Sus scrofa: one gene and its partner. The protein of the gene in region 2 purifies or fractionates together with the protein of the main gene of each other region. This does not show direct contact. Links are inferred from orthologs where the notes say so. Each region holds a gene or a part of one and is shown on either strand. Other genes may lie near its edges.

Region 1 (4,802 bases), about 40 Mb from region 2:
GCATCCCACTAGTTTTTACAAGCTTCATCTTACTCCTACCTTTAATCATTAGTAACAGGGCTACGGACAGGATACTAAACCCAGCAGGGATGAAGCACATTTGTTGAAAGAGCAGGGGTTAAAGATGGCAGTGTTAGAACACTTGCAATGACTTTGTATTGAATGCAAGTCAGTTTTTAAATGAGTCTTTTTGAGATCTTTTTTTTTTTTTTTTTTTTTGTCTTTTGTTGTTGTTGCTATTTCTTGGGCCGCTCCCGCAGCATATGGAGGTTCCCAGGCTAGGGGTTGAATCGGAGCTCTAGCCACCGGCCTACGCCAGAGCCACAGCAACGCAGGATCCGAGCCGCGTCTGCAACCTACACCACAGCTCACGGCAACGCCGAATCGTTAACCCACTGAGCAAGGGCAGGGACCGAACCTGCAACCTCATGGTTCCTAGTCGGATTCGTTAACCACTGCGCCACGACGGGAACTCCTGAGATCTTCTGAATTGGATCTCTGGTGGGACTCGGGAAGGTGAAGTATGGGAGGGAAGGCAAGCTGTGACCCTAGAAAACTTCTCAAGTTTCATTTCAAAGCTGTAGCAAGTTCCTGGTCAGCCACTGCTCTTAGGATTTGTTGTTGTTGTTCTTTAAGTGGGAAATGCAGACTGGTGTAAGAGGTGGCCAGTAAGTCCTTCTGTTGGATATCAACCTAAACCAAAGTGGGGGATTTGGAGGAAGATAAACGAGTGAATAAGGAAAAAGCAACATGAGGGGAGAAGGGGGCAGGGCAGACACCTGAGGAGAGGAACCTGTAGCCGGCCCCTCCCAAGCTGCAGGGAAACGAGTTCAGCAGGACTTAGCCCAGAAGGAACGAGATTTGCCGAAAAGAGAGGGGGAGGGAGAACCTTTGGGTTGTCTAAAGAATTGGGAGGCACGGGGCAGGGCAGGGCTGCAGAGGGAGTGACCGCATGGCCCAGATTATTGGCGCATTGCCCTGCTTTGGATCCCCAGTCACAGTGCCTCGGACGAGGTTAATTAGAATACTAACTGGGTCCGCCCAGAAGCCTTCACCTTGCCCTCCTGACCCTGGGGCCAAGCCCGAGAAGGGTCCCGAGTCGAAGGCCGGAGCAAACTGGGGCCGTAGTCACTTCGTCGCCCGAGTCTCCGGGACCGCTCCAGGGGCAGAGCCAGGCCAGGGCTGCCCGCCCAGCCTGGCCCGCCGCCTCCAAAGCCGTAGAAGCCGCGGGCAACTCTGAGGCTGCGGGGACAGGTGACTGACCGGCAGCGTCCTCCGCATTGCACGCCCCTCTCGCGGTTCTCGGTTCGAAGGGTCGAGCTGAGCGGCCAAGGGCAATTAGCACGCGCTTTCGACCTCCCCACCTTCTAAGAGAGGGTCAGTTGGGGTCTTCGCCCCCAACATGGAGCGCCCCAGTGCGTTCCCAGAGCTACGCTGCCCCGCCCCAGGTCCCCCAGATGCTCTGGGACCTGGGTTCAGGCTCGGGCCTGAATATTCTTCCTTTTCTCACTTATTAGCCCCTCCTCCCTTCCTGGGTGCAGGTGGGCCTTGCCCCCTTTTCTCTCGCAGGTCCTAGACGGACGAAGAGTGTCTATGAGGAGAGGAGCTGTGCCTCGGAACTTTTCTCGGCATCCAGAGAACTGCTATATACGCAGCAGGCGCTCACTTAACGGTATCAGTGGCAGTAAAAGAGCCCACGGGCTCTTAGATTAAAGTCTTCCGCTTCTACTCGCTTCCTCCTCCTCCGCTTCAGTCTATGAAATGGTGTACTCTCCCTTTAAGACTAAAATGGTGGCTTGCTGCGATCCACTCCACTTCCGGTGGGGAGGGGGGCGGGACCCCAGCCCGCTCACGCCGGAAGTGGTTTGCGTTTTCAAGATGGCGACTCCCTATGTAACTGACGAGACCGGCGGTGAGTGCGGGAGACGCGGAGCCGCTTCTCCCCGGGCTCTCGGGGCAGGGGTTCGGACTTGGAAAGGGGTCTGTGCCCCGCCCATCCCGGGGCCCCTCCTTTGCCCCGCCCTCCGGACCGCCTTCCCCATTCATTCTCTCCTACGGGGTGTCACCTGCGCCCCCTTCTGGTCTCGTGTTTGGGGGTCTCCGCTTCCGGTCACCCAAACCCAGGGGTCCTTCAGTGCTGGTCTTTGCTCCGGGACCCTCGTGGACCCTTAGCTTTTCTCCAGCAGTTGGAGTCTCTATATCTGCTTTGGGTTCTTCAGCCTTGGGGGGGCTCCTCCACTCTCAGTTCCCTCCAATTCCTGCTTTTCCCCTCTTCCCCTCCCCCATCTCAGTATGCCTGCTTTTTGCCCTATCCCAGTCCCGTTTTAATTCTTTTTCTGAAAGCTATATCTATTGGAGCCCTCCTCATTGCTGCATAGTGCTTTTTCCACTCCCTCATCTTCATCGTTGGGTCATTCAAGTTCAGAGGTGTGAAGGGAAGTGGAACATATTAAAACTTTCAGCTAGAGTTTTCTCCTTGATGGCACCACCCTTCTGTACCTTCTCTGGTGATGGTGACTGGAGTTGAGGGATCTAAGGAGGAAGAAGGCAAACAAGAAAGTGTTTAGTGGCCTTTAGCAAGCCCTCGGACAAATTTATAGAACCCACTATTCCTTATGCATAGAAAAGAATTTCCAGCCTGTCTGATTGAGATGCTTAAGTGTCTCCTGTGTATGTGAGGTTTACGTGTTGAAAACTGAGAATCAAGATTTTCATTTTGGTTGTGTCCCATCCTAATTTACTCATCTTTAGAAAAATGTGCATAGTAATATTTACTCAGTGATGATCAGATAAGATAGTGTATGTGAAAGCGATTTATAAACTGTTGTATAAGGCAAGGTGTTAACTGGTTTTTGTCACCCTCATTGTGTATGTGTATTCTGTAGAAGTGATGGTGTGTGTGTGTGCTTTGGTACATGCAGTCTGTTTTAAAATGTACCTTTTATGCTTCTTGCTTTGATGTTTTCCATGTTACATCTCACCCACCTCTCCTATCATGTTTAATGACGACCCAAGTCTCTGCTATTTCTCTGCAACCTCACATTTCATAGTGATACAATCTCTTCTGCACTCTACATAGTAGGTCCTTCTTCAACTAATTCCTTTCAATGTGTACTTTGAAAACATTACTCATTTTCTATTTTTTTGGCGGTACGCATGATACTAAGAAATTCCCAGGTCAAGGATCGAACCCGTGGGATGGTAGTGCCCCAAGCTGCTGCAGTGATAATGCCATATCCTCAACTTGCTTTGATGTGATAATCCCCCACTGCGCTTTTTTTTTTTTTTTTTTTGGGTCTTTTTTGGCCACCTCAGGGCATATGTAGTACCCTCCTAGGCCAGGGATCTGATCCGAACCACAGTTGCTACCTGTGCCGAAGCAATGGTAACACTGGATTGTTTAACCCACTGTGCCTGGCCAGGGATTGAACCTGTGTCCTGGCACTGCAGAGACATCACCCATTTTGTTGCACCACATTGGGAACTCCATAACTCCCTTTTCTTTCTGATTTAGTGAAAATCCAGATATCACATCTTGCCCTACTCTCCCACCAAGAGGTATCTTCTGTTATCTCTATGTGGAAAAGGAGAAGGAATCACATTGCTTTTTTATTTCCCTAATTCCAGCACATTGATCTACCACTGTCACTGTAATTCTCATAGGTATTGCAATGCAGCTAGAGCATTTTCTCTAAAACCTCAGGGCCATCATCCACTGCCCACAAGGACCCAAAGGTGTTGTATCATATTTTTTTCTCCATTCTGTTTCTCAGTGTCACCACTTATTCTCAGTAACTGCAACATCTTTGGAATACTCTTATCTTTTTAGTTCCTCCGAATGAGACCATTGACTTTCCTTTGAATTTTCAAACCAGTTACACATCACAGTCACTACAATCTGGACCTACTACATAGGACCTCACCTATGACACTGCCTCCCCCTTCAGGTGCTCCTCCATCACTTATTTTAGCTTCTTTACCCAATCACCTTTATTACTTATACACCCACAGAATCGGCTTTTTTCCCCTCCTTAGGTTCTCTGGTGCTTGACATTTCCCATTTTGGTGAGTCCACCAGTATGTTCATGATGACTTTTTTTTTTTTTTTTAATTTTATGGCCACACTTTTGATCTGTGGAAGTTCTCTGGCCAGGGATTGAAGCCGCATCACAGCTGCGACCTACACTGTGGTTGTTGGATCCTTTAACCCACTGTACCAGGCCAAGGCTCAAACCCACAGTGACCTGAGCCACTGTAGTGGTATTCTTAACCCACTGTGCCATGGCAGGAACTTCTTCATGACTACTTTTGATGCTGCCCTGCTAGACCTATGTGACGAGTCACTATATCATCATTGCTTTCTTCATTCATTTTGATCTTCTGTACTAAGTCAGCACTTCTGTTACCTTGATCATCCTATCACCTGTTTTCTTGGCTTCTGCTTCTAGGCCCTAGTACATGGCTAGAGAAAAGACACAGATATACACCTTCAGTATAATATAACTTAATGTTAACTTCAGCCAAGATCACAGCTTCAATTCTTCTTTCTCGATTTGCTTACATTCTGCCATGGCTATTTCCCCTGCTTTTCCCAGCATTCTGTGACCATCCCTTTTAATGCTTCTTGTGGCAAATGGCCTCACTTTCTGTTTCATTGAAAAATCAAGGTGGTTTGTTATTTTTCTTTTTCTTTCTTCTTCTTTTTTTTTTTTTTTTTTTTTTTTTTGGCCACACTTGCGACATGTGGAAGTTCCCAGGCCAGTTATTGAATCCAAGAAGCAGCTGTGACCTATGCCATAGCT
Region 2 (3,729 bases):
TAGTTCCATTTTCAGATTCCCTGTTGAGATCGTGATATAGATTAAGAAAATGGGCCTTGAAAATGACCCTCCCATTGTATAATTATAATTGAAGGCATGAATTTAAAAAGTTGCCTGGCTTCAACTTAGCCAACATATATCCAGCATTAATCTTATGCTAGGAGGTAGGAAATATTAATACAAGTAATAGTATAAAATGGTTTCTACCTTCAAAATTGCTTATAGTGTCATTATTTTATTTTTTAGCAGTTTTTGCTATTTAGATTGAATTTTTTTCCACTCCCCACAGGAAAACTTAGATACGCCAACAACAGCAATTATAAAAATGATGTCATGATCAGAAAGGAGGTAAGTTCTTTTCAAATGTTTCATTTTTTTTTTTGCATTAAGCCCATTTTCCTCCTGTCTGTGTTTTTATTTACATATTTTAAAGTACATTAAAGGCTGTAAAAAAGCAGCTAATTTGTAGATTGAAAAGGGATTCCAGTTGTAGCATCTGTAACAACAAAAGAAGCAATCTGAATATATTAAATTGTAGTCCCACATTTGAGCATATTATTTAATTTATTCATAACTAACTTTGTCTTTTACCCTATTTGTCATTTAAAACTAATTGATAATCATGACTTAAACACAGTATGAATTTTAAATAAGAGGTGCAAAAGTTAGGTGTGAGAAAAAGTTCAAAGTATCAACTGTGATGTGTATTTGTATTTTTCTCTGTTCACCCTGTAGATTTTGCATTAACCATTCTGAAATATTTGAGTCCATGTTACAAATGAAGAGGATAAGATTTAAAAAGGGACTAGGATGTGGAGAGGGAAAAATATATATTTAAAGGAAAGGGCAAGGGAGTGAAGAAAAATCATAAGGATGGATGATTTTCTCCCAACTTGTGCTTTTAGAATCAGAATTAAGGGTTTTTTTTTTTTTTTGATATTCTATTTGAATACTCAGGATTTGTAATTTTATTATTTCTTTCTGAGGTATGGGGAGAATAGACCCTGAAATTTTTATAACCTATTTTCAGGCTTATGTACACAAGAGTGTAATGGAAGAACTGAAGAGAATTATTGACGACAGTGAAATTACAAAGGAAGATGATGCTTTGTGGCCTCCTCCTGACAGGGTTGGTCGGCAGGTTTGTATTTAGTAATTCTTTATTTTTAAAATATTTATTTATTTATTTTTGCTTTTTAGGGCGGCACCCGAGGCATATGGAATTTCCCAGGCTAGGGGTTGAATTAGAGCTATAGCTGTGGGCCTATGCCCCTATGCCACGGCCACAGCAGCGCGGGATCTGAGCCGGCGTCTGTTGCCATACCACAGCTCACATCAGTGACAGATCCTTAACCCACTGAGCAAGACCAGGGACTGAACTCGCATCCTCATGAGTCCTAGTTGGATCATTAACTGCTGAGCCATGAAGGAACTCCCATGTTTAGTAATTCTTTAAATATGTAATAATAAAAATTGTTAGTATAATTGTTATGTTTCTCCTTATTTGTTTAGACTGGATCCTCACTGAGTTTTGGGTTTTCCATTTAGTAGGCATCTGGTAAATACTAATTTTATTTCACTTTGCCTTATTTTCTGTGCTACTCCTATAAGTAAAGGAATCAATGCATAGCTGTCAATTAATGCTTTCTGAACTTTGCAGCTGCCCCAGCTAAAGTTACAATGTTTTTCACACTATTATGAATCATTTCTATTGTAGGTTAATTACTTTTATTAGGAATAATAAATTCATAATTAATACAATAGGAAAAAAACACAGGTGTTTGTTAAATTTGAGCATTAGGATTCTCATTAACTACCTAAAATTCACTTTCTTCAGATTTATAACTTTGGAAATTCTTATTTGCCCCAGAGAGGGACTTGATTGGTTTCTTTGTTCAAACTAACCATTGCCTTTCCCTCTCATATTCCCTTCAGAAAAATTGATGTTTCTCAGAGGGCTGCTGAAGAACTCTGAAGGCCTAATTTCACTCTATAGAAAGACAGTTTGATTTCTGAATTGGGTCTTTTCACCTCTTGGAGAAATGAGATATGACCCCAGGAGGAAGAAACATTTAATTTCGCTGTTGTATATTCCCAAGGATTATACTGTTTAACAGCTCCTTTGACTACAAGAAAATGTGGAGAAATCTAACAGATGCTGACGCTCTGTAGCAGTAACTTAACACTTCTATTTAAAGAAACATTATTTAAGAAAGCAAAGGTAATAGTTATCAGTATTTTATGGGCTGTAAATACTTTTACAAAGTAAATTTTGATCTTTTTGTCTTATGCAAGTATGCATATGCATTAAAAATCAAAAACTATAGCAACAAAGCTTTTATCATCTCTTAGATTGAGGGAAACCCAGTGTTTTCATCTACTCACTTGATGTGTTCATGCGTTTTAATTAGTGGGGAGGATTACTCATGCTCTAGAAATTGTCTATTGAATCTTTAAGACAGACTTTATGACCGCTAGAGAGCCTTTGTTAAATCTCCATTTTGTGTGTGCTATGAACGGTGCTAATTAGGTCTTCTGATCAAGCGTATAGCTAGGAGTGTCTTTAATGGCATCTGTTAATTTAAACTGAAAAAGCTGTTAATTTAAACTGAAAGCAGTTATAACTTTTTAATTTTTCATTTTAGATTTGCAGATAAAATTTGGAGAAAAATTTATACTGTAATTTTGGCACGCCGGAAGCATCTGTATTATGTTGCATTTGTTTTATTCTTAATTGTTTTCTGAAGTCAGAAGACTATGAATTTCTTAGTCCTATGATCCAAGGTTCAGAAATTTGTATTATCATTTACTAGTGATTGTAAATATCAACGATTTTTTTCCTCTGCTTTGGCAGTCTTGAATTTCACAAAATTGTGCTAATAAAGCCTACCCTTGTCAGGGTTTTTAGCCTAATTTTAAGGATTACAGAGAATGTAAAGTCCTTGGCATAGGCTCTAACACACAGTAGGTGCTAAAGTGGTTCTGTTGTTAATATTATGCAATGTGTCTGTAGAGTCTGGTAGGAAGGATAAATGTATTTATCATATTTAAAGTAGACTTATACCCATAGTATTAATTTTTATTGACATTATAAAGAACATCCCAGTGTCACTCTGAAGTATATCATTCATTTGATTGTATCTTCTTTATGGCATCTCTGGAGAGCAATTTCTTTTTCATTTTTTCATTTTTATTGAAGTATAGTTAATTTATAAGGTTGTGATAATTGCTGTACCACAGAGTGATTCAGTTATACATGTACACACATCCATTCTCTTTCCCACATAGATTATCATAGAATATTGGATAGAGTTCCTTGTGCTACACAGCAGGTCCCCATTGGCCAGTCATTCCATGTACTTCAGTGTGTTATGCCCATCCCAGAGCCCCAGGCCATCCCCCACCCCACCCGTCCCCCTTTGGTAACCGTAAGTTTTAAAAAGTCTGAGTCTGTTTCTGTGAATTGTTGATTCATCCTAGTATTGGGGACTCCTGAAGCAGTTGATGAGGTTTTTATTTTATAGTTTATAGAAAAGGTCAAGTTTTTTTTTTTTCTTATTTCCTGTGATCGCTGGAAAGCTTGCAGATAAAATTGGGACCTCATATCGCAAGAGTAAACTGTCTTTGGGATGGATTTTTATATTAACTACATTTCTCTGTTTAATTTTTTTCAGGAGCTTGAAATCGTGATTGGAGATGAACACATTTCTTTCACCACATCAAAAATAG

The links. The genes of interacting proteins can lie anywhere in the genome.
Region 1: the proteins of MAGOHB (region 2) and PYM1 purify together in Homo sapiens (co-immunoprecipitation; 3 studies listed by BioGRID and IntAct, with this or other methods). This does not show direct contact. The link is inferred for Sus scrofa from reciprocal best matches to the Homo sapiens genes MAGOHB and PYM1.

The regions. Positions count from the first base shown.
Region 1 is NC_010447.5:21,325,370-21,330,171, reverse strand, and holds the start of PYM1 (partner of Y14 and mago), read left to right. Parts: upstream 1-1,770; 5' UTR 1,771-1,788; coding exon 1,789-1,912; intron 1,913-4,802. UniProt on the Homo sapiens protein: Key regulator of the exon junction complex (EJC), a multiprotein complex that associates immediately upstream of the exon-exon junction on mRNAs and serves as a positional landmark for the intron exon structure of genes and directs post-transcriptional processes in the cytoplasm such as mRNA export, nonsense-mediated mRNA decay (NMD) or translation.
Region 2 is NC_010447.5:61,428,346-61,432,074, forward strand, and holds part of MAGOHB (protein mago nashi homolog 2), read left to right. Parts: intron 1-289; coding exon 290-348; intron 349-1,030; coding exon 1,031-1,141; intron 1,142-3,674; coding exon 3,675-3,729. UniProt on the Homo sapiens protein: Required for pre-mRNA splicing as component of the spliceosome. Plays a redundant role with MAGOH in the exon junction complex and in the nonsense-mediated decay (NMD) pathway.